Neodiprion lecontei: one gene and its partner. The protein of the gene in region 1 interacts with the protein of each later gene in a pairwise test. Links are inferred from orthologs where the notes say so. Each region holds a gene or a part of one and is shown in the gene's direction. Other genes may lie near its edges. The genes, in order: GPN-loop GTPase 1 and GPN-loop GTPase 2.

What was found.
Region 2: the proteins of GPN-loop GTPase 1 (region 1) and GPN-loop GTPase 2 interact in binary tests that used the Homo sapiens proteins (3 or more experiments, as listed by UniProt). The link is inferred for Neodiprion lecontei from reciprocal best matches to the Homo sapiens genes GPN1 and GPN2.

The regions. Positions count from the first base shown.
Region 1 is NC_060262.1:18,441,149-18,448,962, forward strand, and holds GPN-loop GTPase 1, read left to right. Parts: upstream 1-1,556; 5' UTR 1,557-1,614; coding exon 1,615-1,693; exon of another isoform or gene 1,694-1,927; intron 1,928-2,015; exon of another isoform or gene 2,016-2,105; intron 2,106-3,750; exon of another isoform or gene 3,751-3,850; intron 3,851-3,913; exon of another isoform or gene 3,914-4,011; intron 4,012-4,111; exon of another isoform or gene 4,112-4,227; intron 4,228-4,536; coding exon 4,537-4,812; intron 4,813-5,598; coding exon 5,599-5,963; intron 5,964-6,088; coding exon 6,089-6,318; intron 6,319-6,719; coding exon 6,720-7,068; 3' UTR 7,069-7,198; downstream 7,199-7,814. Other genes in the region: ATP-dependent RNA helicase DDX24, read right to left, coding at 152-800, 1,200-1,397; GPN-loop GTPase 3, read right to left, coding at 7,547-7,814. UniProt on the Homo sapiens protein: Small GTPase required for proper nuclear import of RNA polymerase II (RNAPII). May act at an RNAP assembly step prior to nuclear import.
Region 2 is NC_060265.1:18,519,580-18,525,999, reverse strand, and holds GPN-loop GTPase 2, read left to right. Parts: upstream 1-1,873; 5' UTR 1,874-2,412; intron 2,413-2,503; 5' UTR 2,504-2,602; intron 2,603-2,655; 5' UTR 2,656-2,894; coding exon 2,895-3,015; intron 3,016-3,448; coding exon 3,449-3,654; intron 3,655-3,888; coding exon 3,889-4,003; intron 4,004-4,592; coding exon 4,593-4,788; intron 4,789-4,930; coding exon 4,931-5,168; 3' UTR 5,169-5,659; downstream 5,660-6,420. Other genes in the region: phosphomevalonate kinase, read right to left, coding at 1-78, 961-1,166, 1,443-1,582; arginase, hepatic, read right to left, coding at 5,829-6,064, 6,171-6,293. UniProt on the Homo sapiens protein: Small GTPase required for proper localization of RNA polymerase II and III (RNAPII and RNAPIII). May act at an RNAP assembly step prior to nuclear import.

The DNA.
Region 1 (7,814 bases):
ATCCAAGCAAGTTCCTCGTCATTTCAAAATAAGCCATTGATCTTAGATTCACTGATTTTGTCAATGCATACAAACGATTTCAAGTCAAACACTTTGTAACAATGAAAATGCATAACTCTATTGACATAGACAATCAGAGATAATTACAAACCAGAATCTGAATATTCTTCATTTGACAATTCATCCATAGAGAGTATATCTTCGTCATCTTCATTTTCTGATTCACCTAATTTGTTCCAGTCCTGATCACCTGTTTCAGTTGAATTATTGCTTTCATTCACTTTATCTGCCTCTTTCCTCTGAGCCTCCAGAATACCATTTAAAATTGGTAAACCAAAAGCCAAAGTTTTTCCACTTCCTGTTTCAGCGGCACCTAAAATATCTCTCCTTCCCAAAATTGCTGGAGCCAAGGTCAGAGCCTGAATTGGTGTCGGAGCTTGAAAACCTTGGTCAGCCAATGCTTTTACCAATATTTCAGGTACACCCAGCGAAGTCCATGAATGTACGTTTATATCTGATTTTAGATTGTCCAGATTGATCAGACATCCATCCTCTGCGTCAACCTCATGCCCGTTTTTATCCAAATTAGATTCGCTATCGGATCCAATACCAGACTCTTCTTCAATTAGATCAGATTGCTTTATACCACGTTTATCGTCGAATTTTTGCTTCTTCTTCTTCGGCTTCACTTTCTCTCCTTTCACAGCTGCTCTAAGTTTTTTCTTTTGAGCTGAATGCTCGTCTTCCTCGTCATTGTCAATCTGGTCATCGAGTTTCTGAGCCTTTTTCTTCTTGTTACCCTTGTTTGTTAAATATGATTCAATTTTCTTGTTATTAATATTAAAGAAAATTGGCAGAGCTATTGGTTATTCTCTGTAATGTTACTGACTACACGTCATAAATCAATCAACTAAAACTATGCTGTAAGCAGATTTTCCTTTCATGCACTGCGAAAGTTCGTTAATATTGTCCAGATACTGTAAGTTTTACAAATTTCTCAATCCCTTCAATATCCTTAATATGTATCATCTGTTATCGGTAGTGATTTAACTCTCGAAAGAAGAAGTGCTGCTCTATCGTACCAGAGTTATCTTGATATTTATTTCGTGTGCTTGTACATAATATTGAGACCATTGTTCGGTGAAAGGTATAGTATTAGAGATATTTAAAATTATTTCAATATGCAGGAAACCATTTACCTTGTCTAATTTGTCATCGGAGCGAGTTGCTTTTCGTTTTTTGGTTCCTTTTTCGAGACTGTAATCCGTCAATTCTTCAATTCCGATCAGGCCGTCAATACCTTCAGCAAAAAAGGCACCCTCCAATTTTAACGGTTTCCACGTCTTAGATTTATCCTTTTTGATTTTCCCCATTGCTTGTTTGTTTCGACTAAACATAACCTCGATTTGCGAGGAAAGAAACGCGCATATCACGACGAACACGTGCGAGCATTGAATTCGAAGCGAGTCAGATGACAGGGAAGTATAACTATATTATATAACCTAACTACCTAACTATAAAATTGAACCAAGCGGTGAAAATATGCACTAGAGTTAGTAAGTTATGCTGTACATAACGCAGTATCGGGTGATTTTGTTTTTGTAATTTTAATTAATGTATAAAATGAAATTTTGTCTACAAGAAATTTGTGAATTTGCTTGCACAAAGCCAAGCAATAAAAACTTCATTGGAGGTGAGGGTTTTAAATGCTGGACACGTGATAAAATGTGGACAAGTACCAATCAGTGGTTGCAATGTTATAAGTGTTTTAGCTTTTTGTTTACAAACATTAATTATTCATTATATTAAAAATAATCCCTATGAAATAACTGGTCAAATAATAAACGACGGTCGAATAATTGGAATGAGTTCTTCTTATAAGGCAGGTCATTCGTAAACACGTCGCAGTATTACTCCATTGCAACCGGTAAGATATTTTGTCACATTCATAACCTATAACAGTTATTTTATTTTTCCAACAATTAATTTATTAAAATCGATTTTTATTTTTACAGCAATGATTTGAAGAGCTTGCCAATGATTACTTGCACTCATAAAAAATGTGTATGGATTGGCTTCATGAATCTTCATTAGAAAAATAGAAGGCAAGCCATTACATGAACATGAGTGTCTTTTATCGGCGAAAAAAAAAATTTCCATGCTTAAAATATAAGGGAACAAAAGAAATTTAAGCTGGAGATGTTAACAACACTGAATCGATGGATTTTAATGAAAATTTACAGCTGTCTGAAAAGCAAGAAGTACAATTTTTTGCTCTAGCTTTACACGTGTAAATTTTACGCTGACATTTTATTTTTACATTTTTATCATCAATTTTTGACCTGATTTTTTTACACATATATCACTATTACAAATTCCTATTATTTGCATTACATATTTTTTCAAAGCCTGATTGCATGTTTTACAAATAATCATGTTTTATGAAAGAGTATTAAACTGCTACATAAATTGATTTTTAAAAACATTACGCTTTTTTGTCAAATCTAATTATGAAATTATTATTAATAAATTATTTCACAATTTCAATGATGTTGTGTTTTTATTTTATAATATTCTTTTCTCTCTTTCTGTTTTATTTACAGAATTACAAGACATGAGTATATCCAAGTTTCAAGCAATAACAATAGTGCTATCATTTGTTCAGGAAGAATTCTAGCTGTTTTTAGTAATCAAAAGTCCTCAGTCTTTCTCGATAAACTAGAAAAAATTGATGTTAATCCTCTTCAGAACTGCTGTAAGAAAATAGTCGAACAATATTAAATGGAGTTGCTCAACTACTGAATTTTATTCTGTTGGGAGAAAGAAAGACAATTTAGAATTACAGGAAGTGATCCAAGCTATAGATTATTTACTTATAGTAAAAATAAGAACTCGATTGGTAGTACAAATCATTAAAGTATTTTTATCCAACTGTGATAAGTAATACTTATACTAGACATGGTTTAAAATGAACCCACAGCATGTGAGCTTTATGAAAATTCCACACAGTTCAAAGTTGTTGAATGCAGTCTTATTATTGCACACAATAATCCTTAGCTCGGTTGCTCACCTGATGCTATTGTATTCGATGATTTTAAATCTATAAAAATAATTGAAATAAAATGTCCTCTCCTTTTTTTTTTATCAAGACTCAATTCTTCAGTACCTTCAGCTGTCAGTACCTTGTTTATAAGTGATCTCCTACGTATTCTTTCTTCTCTAGAATTTACATGACGAGTATATTTTGTAGTTGATCCTGGAGGAATATTTTGAGAAGGAACACTTATTTTCTTAAGTTAAGAATGAGTCGAACCAACAGCTATTACATGATGGTAAAAATTGTCTTTGTTAAAATGGAGTGAAAAGATCTTATACTGGTCATTACACTTTTTCCAATTCTCAACACTGGTCCAAGCTACGCGACTATCGCTTTTGTATTTATCACCAAAGTTGTTGATTCTATCGACGAAATCTTTATTGGGATGTGGAAGATGGAAAAACTTGATTTTTTCATCACCATAAGCTTTACATTGACAATCAAACACACAGCAATACACGTTACTTTTATTTTTTCGCGCAGGGAATTCCATAATCAAAACAATGACTTGGATCGACTATTCACTTTTTAAATCTTAATTATTAATCGAAAAACTAAAAAATAATATTAACATTTCCACATAAACAAATACATAGTCAGCTGTTAGCAATTCGAGCTACGCGCTCACGGTCAGATGTTGAATTTGGTCACTAGATAGCGTATCCGAAGACCACCTAGAATAAGATACCTATATCTAGAGTTGAACAACAGTTTCCCAATTGACACGCTTGTCGAATTCGAAGAAAATAACAGGTAGAGACTTAATAGATAATTTCCTAAAAATACATAAAAGCACTGATATATTATACATTTCAGTGAGGACTCTTAGCTTTCCAGGCCTGAGTTACACAATTTTTGATTGAGGACGTACCGGTATCTTTCGAGTCTCGTCAATATTTACAATAACTCCTTTTGTACGTATTAGGTTTGATTAATAACGTGTTATTTGTCGGTGTAAAACGTCGAGATACAAGTAGCCAATAATAATGCGTTGGATTGTAAGAACCTCTTGACAAATTAATCGTAAAAAATTCAACGCAAAAAAATCCTAACCTCTGATTCTTTTATTATGTCCAACCTCCAAAGCTCGAAATTGGACTAGCATTTTCCTACAATTTAAGCTTGTCTAGGTAGCTTTAAATTTCTTTAGCCATGGGAATCTTATCTGGCATTCTAAAAGATTCTAGATCACCTGAAGGAATCATTTGAAATCTATTTCAAATCACGATAAGATTGTGTCCGATGTCTCCAAACCTATGGGAATTTGAAGTGGATTTCCAAATGTACACCTGGAAATTTTCAATAACACAGTGAAATTTAACGTCGTTAAGCTTCAATCGCATTTTACTTTAATTGAGTGTGGAATTGCAGATTTGCGAAAAATTATCTGTGGTTTTAGATACGATTTCTGTGATGACTTTTACCATTTTTTGTTTTAGAATTAGCCAATATGTTCAAGACTGACACTGTAACCGAAAGTGAAAAACAAGGAGATGGCAATGATGACATGGAAATTGATGTTAAAAATGCGTCAACCACTCAGCCAATTCCAGGTGCAAGGCGAAAGCCAACTTGTATAGTCGTCCTTGGAATGGCTGGTTCAGGAAAAACAACTTTTGTCAAAAAAATCACGTCCACTTTGTATAACACTGGTAAACCATATGTTATCAATCTGGATCCGGCTTGTTCCGAAGTCCCTTACCCAGCCAATATAGGTGAGCTCAGTTCTAGTTACATTGAGTTTGCTGTACAATTCCATGGTAATTTTGAAATTGTGATATATATTGAATTTTGTGAAAATCCTATGTTTCATACCATGCCTGGAAGTTGTGAAAGAAAGTTCCAATGCTTATAAAATCCTATAAAAACTGTAAAACTCAGAATTCTTAATATCATGACAAGAAATTTGATTTTTCGTGCTAAATTTAAACCTTTTTTTTTAACTCAATTAACAAAAAAACATGAAAATTTTCAAAAGAAAAGTAGAGTCGTGGCAAAGAGGATAAATTATCCAAGAATAATCTATCCTCATTTGATACAAATCAGTCGAGCTGTTTCTGCGACATCATGGGCACTGAAAAACGTGTCACTGAGCAAAACGGTTTATCCTAATGTGAATAACAATCTTTCCTATTGTCTGATTTTAATAGAGAAAACGTTGATGGAACTTAATCTGCAGACATTTGAATGAAACGAATCTTAATCAAATTGCATAATTGGTTGTTGAGATATAAATTCCCAAAATTCTAGCCATCTACTTGTATATATCTCCTCAATAAACTTTTTAATAAAGATAAATGCAACAATTCGGGACAAGAATAATATAATAATAATATTAATAATAATCACTACGAACACTCGCCATATGTGATAGAGTTGGTTCTCATGAGCCGTTAGGGTTGTATGAAGCAAGATAGGGGATGGATCGGCGACCATCATTATGTGTCTGCGGCCGTCTTAAGATGTTCAATAGTTGCTCGATAAGTCAACCATTTTTTCAGACATTAGAGACACGGTCAACTACAAGGAGGTCATGAAGCAGTATGGGTTGGGCCCAAACGGTGGTATTGTTACGGCACTGAATTTATTCTCAACAAAATTTGACCAGGTGATAAAACTGATTGAAAAGGCAGGAGAAGAACACGAATTTGTTATATTGGATACTCCTGGTCAAATAGAGGTTTTCACTTGGTCAGCCAGCGGCACGATCATCACTGAGGCATTGGCTTCTGAATTTCCAACTGTGATTGTCTATGTCATGGATACTGTGAGGAGCGTCAGCCCAGTTACCTTTATGTCGAATATGCTATATGCATGTTCTATTCTTTACAAGACCAGACTTCCATTCGTTATAGCAATGAATAAGGTAAATTGAGAAAAATACAAATAATTCAAGTAATCGTTGATTAGTACAAATTTTGCAGTTTTCAATGCATGTACACTTCATCAACACTCGATTAGTAGATTTCATTTGAGATTTTATGGTTACAGATAGATGTTGTTGAGCACAGCTATGCAGTGGATTGGATGCAAGATTTTGAATCGTTCCAAGAAGCCTTGGAATCAGAGACTAGCTACATAAGTAACTTGACACGCAGTTTGGCACTAGCACTTGACGAATTCTATTGTCACCTGCGCAGTTGTGGTGTCTCGGCATTGACCGGGGATGGAGTTCCCCGCTTCTTCAAGCTGATTGAAGAAGCGGCCAAAGAATATGAAACGTAATTTTGTACTGAAATGTTTAAAAATTCTCAAAAATTCACGGCTTTTGACAGAAAAGTGAGAAAATTCTCGACTATTCATCCTTTGCATTAAAACTTGGCTATAATGTAATATTTCACTCATTTGCAACGTTATTTAAGCCAATATTTCACTTAATTCGTTTAAAAGATATTCTGAACACGAAACTAACATTACCCTACTTTATATTTCAACGGGTACCATTCAACTTCTGATTGATAAGATTATCAAAATTGTTGAGAAATATTTATGAGATTGAAATTGGAAACGTTCACGTAATGGATGTGTAGGAAAGAGAATTTAGCCATTAAAATTACGAACTACACCTTCATAAGTATTTCGTTTATTGTATACTTTCTATACTATTTAACGAATGTTCCAGAGACTATAAGAAAGATTGGGAGAGAATCCGCGTGGAGAATGCAAAAGCACAGGAAGAAGCAAGGAAAGCACAATTGAAAAAGGCAGCTGCGGAAGGTTCCGGCGATGTTGTTCCATTGGTCAGTACAGTTAATGTTGGCCGTGAGATAGCAGATATCTATCTGAAACACCCAGCCAACGAGTCTAGCGATGATGAAGAAGGCGAAGAGAATTCTGGAGATCCAGGAGTGGACGAGGATGAACGAAAAGAGGCAGAATCTTTTAAAACTTTTCTTGCAAAACAAAAAGCCGAACAGGACAGACGAGCGAAGTCCCAAAAAAGTGAACCGAGTACCAGCAAAGGAGGCTGACATATTTCTCAGCATAGAATACACCATTCGAGAATAAAGTTGGTTGATCATAAAATTCATTGATACCAAATGTTTATGGCCCTTGTACCATGAAAATCTTTGTACAAAAATAAACTTTAATACCTATCAATTTGGTTGATGGAAATCCATTCTAAAATACCTAAAACAACTTTAAAATTGACGGTAATAATTTTAAACAAGTATACATAACTAGGTTATAGTCGTAAACAGCCTGTAAAATGATGCAGTGGTTTGTATTGAACATTTGCTTTGACAGAGTAGACTGCACTGAAATAAGCTTCAAGACTACAGAAAACAACAACTGACATGTGTTCAGTTTGAGAAGCCAAAAATCGTGAGGGAAGCTCTTCACTTGACACATCGTTGTAGCGAATGAAACACATGGTACTGACGTGTAAAGACAATTTATTATTTGAAAAAAATAGTTTTATTTACATGATGGATTGGATGGTTTATGTTAATCACCATCATCTTGCTCTGGCTCGTCGAAGTCCTTCATTTTGACATCAGCTTCCTCACCATATTGGATGATATTATCAATAGTCAGCCTTATGTCAGCAATATTTTCTTCGTCTTTGATATTGAGTGGATAAAATCTAACTAAGCTGTAGTCCTCGATCAATCTTCCAAGAGCTTCAGTGAGATTTCTATACTTTTGGTTCCAGTGACCCTTTTCCATATCAGCCAACAAGCTATGTGGATCTGGTTCTAGATATCTATCCAAC
Region 2 (6,420 bases), on another chromosome or scaffold:
TGCCAAAATTTTCAACGAACCATTGAATATCAGTTTTCCGTCTTATGTCACTGACTATCCATATGGGTATATTACAAGCTGAAAAAAAGAATATATCACTACATGAAACAACATCAATTATAAAATAATACATCGTGTTATAAATGCGGAAACTAGGTGATTTCCATGGAGTATTGCCGTAAACACAGCATGAGCCAAGGCGACGTTCTAATAACACGAGTCTAACATAGCCTACTCGCGCATACATACTATTTCGAGCAACACCTATGAAGGAAAGTGTGATTTCAGAATCAGTTGAATGTAACAAGATAATTTAAAAGATATAGAAAGTTCAGCCATGCTCTGTCACATCACTGATTGTGCAAAAAGTTACCTGAAAAAAACTGTAATTCTGAAAATCATCTGAAGGTTTTCTTTCTCACACTGATTGGGAAAAAGGTATTTTACATACACTTTATAGGTTTAAAAAATCGAAGTATCAAAGGAGTTGCAACAAGATTTCGATACGCATTATTCGTACACGAAATACCTGTTTCTATGACGGTAAAGTGGGTTAGCAAATGCGCATGTGCAAAGTACAGAAAAGACTAATTTTGACTCCTCGCAGTTTTCTCAGGAGTTAAAGGCAGTCGTTTTTTTACTGCGCATATGCGCTCTTGCAAACAAATCTGACATTATGCGACCCTAACCTCAATGTTGTGCTTCGTGAAAAACCATGTAACATATTCTTGTTACATAAAAACTTGTGTGTAACAAGGAGGCAATTGTCATTTCACCTCGCATATTTTCAATATTTGTCTTTGGCTCGAATGAGTACTCACCTACAACTCATAATGGAAACTTGCGCTTGGCCCGAAAAGATCGAATTTACCTCCGTGTTACACAATAATTTATTTTTGTTTTACAAACAGCAAAGTTATAGAATATGTGATTTGTGAAAGAATGGTAAGGTGATATTACCATTATACATATCGATAGCAGCACGACAAAAGTAGCCAATATCTTTGTTCCTCATATTTTCACCCCATGCAATCATCTGTCCCCTGTATTTCTCTTTGTATTCTCCATCTCCAAGTAATTCTTTGAAATCTAGGTTCAAACTTTTGGCCCAATGAATTTTTATAGGTCCAGAAATCTTTATCGTCACGCACGGCAAATGGTTTAATCTGTGGAGTAGAGTAAATTGCAATTTTTTTTTTCAAAAGAAATACGAGAAAGTAAGTAAAATTAGAATGTGTAAATATGATCAAAGAAAATGAATAATAACCTGGTACGGATGCACAATTTATAGGCGAATAGAAATTAATACGTACGATCTGTGTTGATGTTTATGGTTTTACGCTATAACCTGACAATTGTTAAATTTGACATCATCACGTCGAGTCATGCATGTGCGTACGTGAATCCTGTTACATCACGTTATATTGATAGACGTATATTACCTTTGCTGTAAAATGTCAGTAATGTAATCCTTGCCGGACTTTCTTTTTCCACTGAACAGTAAAATACGACGAGGTTTCACTGAAAGAAATATTGAATCTCCGCTAGCATCTGCGCAGTCACGACTATCTGCAGCTGCCATTTGTAATTGGTATAGAGCTTATAGCAGATTTTCAATCATCGCAATCAGGTTGTCAGTATTTCAGTCTCAGTATGACGTCGACGGTAGTTCGCAATAGACGGGACTAACTTGTATTTTTAAACGTCCCAATACGAGAAAGAGCGATAAGGATAAAGACTGCTAACTTTATGAACTTTGCTTCGCAGGTATGGGCATGCTAATGCGAGCTGAAAGCCGGCGAGGGGTTGCAGTATTTTGCTATACCGACGCGATTTAAAATTATGATTCCATAGGATGGGTCGATACTGCAGGGGGACGATTATGTAATTTCACTTGACTAAACTTTGCAAACTAATCAGAATGCTTGAATGGTGGAAAATGTGAAAAGTGAAATTACAGAATTGAGCCCGAGGCTGAACATCTTTAGATATCTTCAGTCCCATAGTCTACGGCGATAATGCGAACAAAAGGATGAGTGGAATTTCTATCGAAATTGTCCCTCATGGGTTCTACCTAGTGCTACCCTGCCTGTATTTGTGATTGTAATTCAGTGGATTGTAGCGTATTGGGCTTATTGATGGGCTTAATGTAAAGCAGGCTACGTTCAATCGAAGGTTCTTACTCAGATGAGTACTGTGAACTCAACGAGGAATTTTGTTAATTTGTCTGTGGTACGAATAGACTTATCTCCAATCAGAATGCGTCAATAACATGTCTCTAGTTGATACCGAAGTTAACCTAGAAGCCGGAGCGGCTGCGGCGAGTCCGAATTTAACGTATGCGAGTGAAGACAAATCTACGGGGGTCGTGATCAATGGGGTACACACCGATATCGTAATAAAAAACTACAGGTAGAGAATTCGCCAGAGATGGTGGACAGTAACGTTCAAGTGTATTTTAACCCCAAAACAATATAAATTATTTAAAAAAAAAAATTTTCAGGAATCGTATGTTCTTGATTCTTACTCAGTTTGAAAAATTTGGTTCCATACTGACTGTGACCAAAGAAGAAGCTGCCAAGAGCGATGTTTACACAATAAAGTATGTATTTAAGTCACTGCTAGTGATTAGTATTACTGGATATACAGAGAAAGTTTTTTGCAGAACCTTATTGGGCAAGGATGATGATCAAATACACGCAGCAGCTCGGTACATTGCTGAGCAAATAGCTACAGAAAAGCCATTGCTAATATCAATTTGCTTAAAGGATTATGGAGTACAAACTGTGAAACATATAGTGGCTGCTATCAGGAAAATATAGTCTTTGATAGTCTTTGTGATTCTTCTTATAAATTGAAGAATCTTCATTCATCGATTGCTCATTTATAACACAATGACCTCGATATTTGGACAATTAGTAATTGGCCCACCTGGTAGTGGGAAAACTACTTTCTGCGATGCAATGTCAAAGTTTTTGACGAAACTGGGTAGAACAGTTGCTGTTATTAACATTGGTGAGCGTTGGGTTACATTATTGACTAGTCATTCCAGAAGCTCCCAAGCACATCTTTAAATCCTTGAAATTGCCACAGAATTGTTTATCTATTCTACCTGTGTTTCATAAATTATGCTCATTCTCTTTAATTCTTACATTGGATAAAATTTCAAAGAAGTTTAAATCAGAGTATGAGATTATATCAGTTTTTAATATTTTGGTTCTTTTTCTTTGTTATACGAACAGAAATAATTTGTTATTATAATGAACAAATGAGCATTTCATTATCACAAGCAGTTCAAAAAAAGTTTTGATATTGTTGTTTACTGGTACGATCTTTAAAAAAATTTGTGCATTCCTACCAGTTATTCAAATCTCTAAGAGAATACAATATTCAAAAATTTAAAGATTGCATAGTTATATTATTTTTTGTTCTTTGTGACTGCACTTAGATCCAGCGAATGAAAACATGAAGTATGTCCCATTGGTAGACATTTCGGAGCTGATTAAGCACGACGAAGTAATGACGACTTACAGACTAGGACCAAACGGTGCCTTGATTTACTGCATGGAGTTTTTAGAAGCGAATGTGAATTGGTTGATTGAAAAAATTCTCAATCTCAAAGGTTACTACTTGATCATCGATTGCCCTGGCCAAGTACGTTGATGTTAAACGTTTTTTAAATGAAGTTCTACTCCTCAAAATTATAGCATAACGTCAATATTTCATTTTCTAAATACTCATTCTTTTTCACGAGAAAGCAATATTTATGTCTTTATGTGTCTTATTTGTGAAATGGGATATTTAAAGAAATTATGTACATATTCATTTATTTTGACACGTAATATCTGTACAATATATTCAATGTAATATAATAATTCGAAATTTAAGGTAGAGCTGTACACCCATCACAAATCAATTAGTCGCATAGCAGAGAGATTGGAACAAAATCTTGTTAGACTGTGTTGCGTACAGCTAATTGATTCACATCATTGTAGTGATCCAGGTGAGTATTTTTTATTACTCAGGTCACTCGCAAAGTTTTGCAATTTGTGCACGTCGTGGTCTTGGTGATACCATGCCCTGGTACAGAGAGAAAATATGCAAAAATTTTTACATGGAAAAGTAACGAAAGAGTACGTTTGTCTCAGGTGATTGACAGGCTTCAAAATCTGAGTCATAGTTCTCGCCTTGAAACTTAGCTCCTACATTGTGAGCACACTCCAGAACATAGAGCAAAGGAGCCTATTTACTCAGGCTTGACTAACTCTTCTGGATCACCCTCCTAATAGTCGTAACCCAGGTCCCTGTGGCTGCCCTATTCCCAGAATTCGACAGCTAGAAGTAATGCATTTTCCCAGTAATACTGAGCTTTTTGCCGAGCGTGACAGAATATCTACCGATATTCCGAAAGAAAAGTGGATGGGCTGGTTTAGTTACTGGATACGGCGAATGGAGAAATGTATGCAGTGTCGGGCAAATTACTTCGAGAAACTGTTAATAGTACGTTCATTTTGCAAAACTTTTCGACTGACTTACTTATCAATACAGGATTATTTAGTCAAAGATTTATAATTGTTTTGTTGTTATTACAGGAAAATATTTGTCATCCTTAATGCTCTGTACCAGCACAATGCTACATCTAGGATTACCCCACATTAATGTTTTGACGAAGATAGATGAAATGAAGAAATTCAGTGATCGCTTGGCATTTAATTTTGAATTTTATACGGAAGTTCTTGATTTACAATATCTTTTGGAAAAGCTCAATGAAGATCCCTTCACTTCAAAGTAATTATTCATTTGTGATTACATGGTGATGGGTGTTCAGATCATTTTATTTATGTAAACATATCTAAAAACATAGACTTTATCTTTTTCGCAGATGCAAGTATTTAAAAGATCTGTGGTTAATAGTATAATTAATTTGCAGGTATAAAAAATTGAATGCCGCTTTGGTTTCACTGGTTGAAGATTACAGCTTAGTGAGTTTTATACCATTAGATACCTCCAATCAGTCTCTTCTATTGCAAGTAAAGAATGCAGTAGATAAAGCAAACGGTTACATTTTTGGTGGCAATGAACCAAAAGACGTTCAAACATTACTCGCATGTGCTGTTGGTGCCATTAGTGAAACTGAAAAAATGTCTACAATTGATAATTATCTATAAGATTGATCTCCTGAACGTATTAATTTACAACCAATTAGAATATATTTTGGTATAACAAACTAGTAATCAGATATTCTACTGGAATGGCTTTTAAGATATACGAATTTTAGATATAAACGATAATAAAATTCAGTTAAGTAAATTCTCATTTGTTATTTGCTTATGAAATAGTATCAAATGTATAATAAAATTGAAGATGTATCATTCACTTTTTTATATTTGAATGTATGGAATAGTTAATAAAACCTGTGAAAGGAATCACCTGAAGAAAAGTTTTAATTTATTTTCCGATTCTGCAGTTTCGTATATAATAAGACTTATCAACCTACTAGAGAATGAACGTTTTTAAAAGTTAGTGCTTGCATGCATTCGTAAAAACTTGAAAAGATATGGACTAAATGTTGATGCGCCATTAATTAACACATACCAGCTGGAAAATGGAAATATCTTTTAACACATTGATCTTGAATCAAGAAAGGGCTGTCATTACACAAATCATTGAAATGCTCGACGTTCAGGTTTACTACCAATCAGTTATTTACAACAACGTTGAAGCGTTTATGATACTGTGAGAACAACTTTGTTCACCTGATAATCTGACATAGTTATTTGACAAAGTAGTATTATTGATGACACAGTTATGAACGACATACTGATTGATTACTTGAACGTTTGCAATGGTATGTCATCAATTCCTTTAGGAACTTTGAGTCCACGCCTGTTATATCCAAAGGCTGCTTGAATAATTTGAATTGCAGCTTCGACTGTTTTTTTAACGTCACGTTCGGTACCAATGTGTGGATTGACCTCCACTAAATCTACAGCATTTAGTCGACCTGTATTATAGATTTCTTCCATCAAGTGAATCCCTTCTCTCAAAGTAAGACCCCCTCGAACTGTCAAGAAAATAATCGCAAACTAACATGTACCATTTATCAATACTCACAAAATTCATGGTTTCATCAAACACTCATTTTGTTCATATAATATGTCTTTTACTACCTGGGGTTCCAGTGCTTGGAGCTTCCAAAGGATCGAGTGAGTCAATATCAAAGCTGACATGTAAAGATTTGTTATTTTCTGGATCTACTTTAGATAATGCCATATGTACAACGTCATGTATACCTGAAAATATCAGACAAGTTACTTTACAAAATAGGGATGATTTTACCCACTGAAAATGAAAAATGATTTACCCATCTCAAAGAACATTTCTCATTTCAGATAAGTCAAACACTTTGAATTTCAGCTT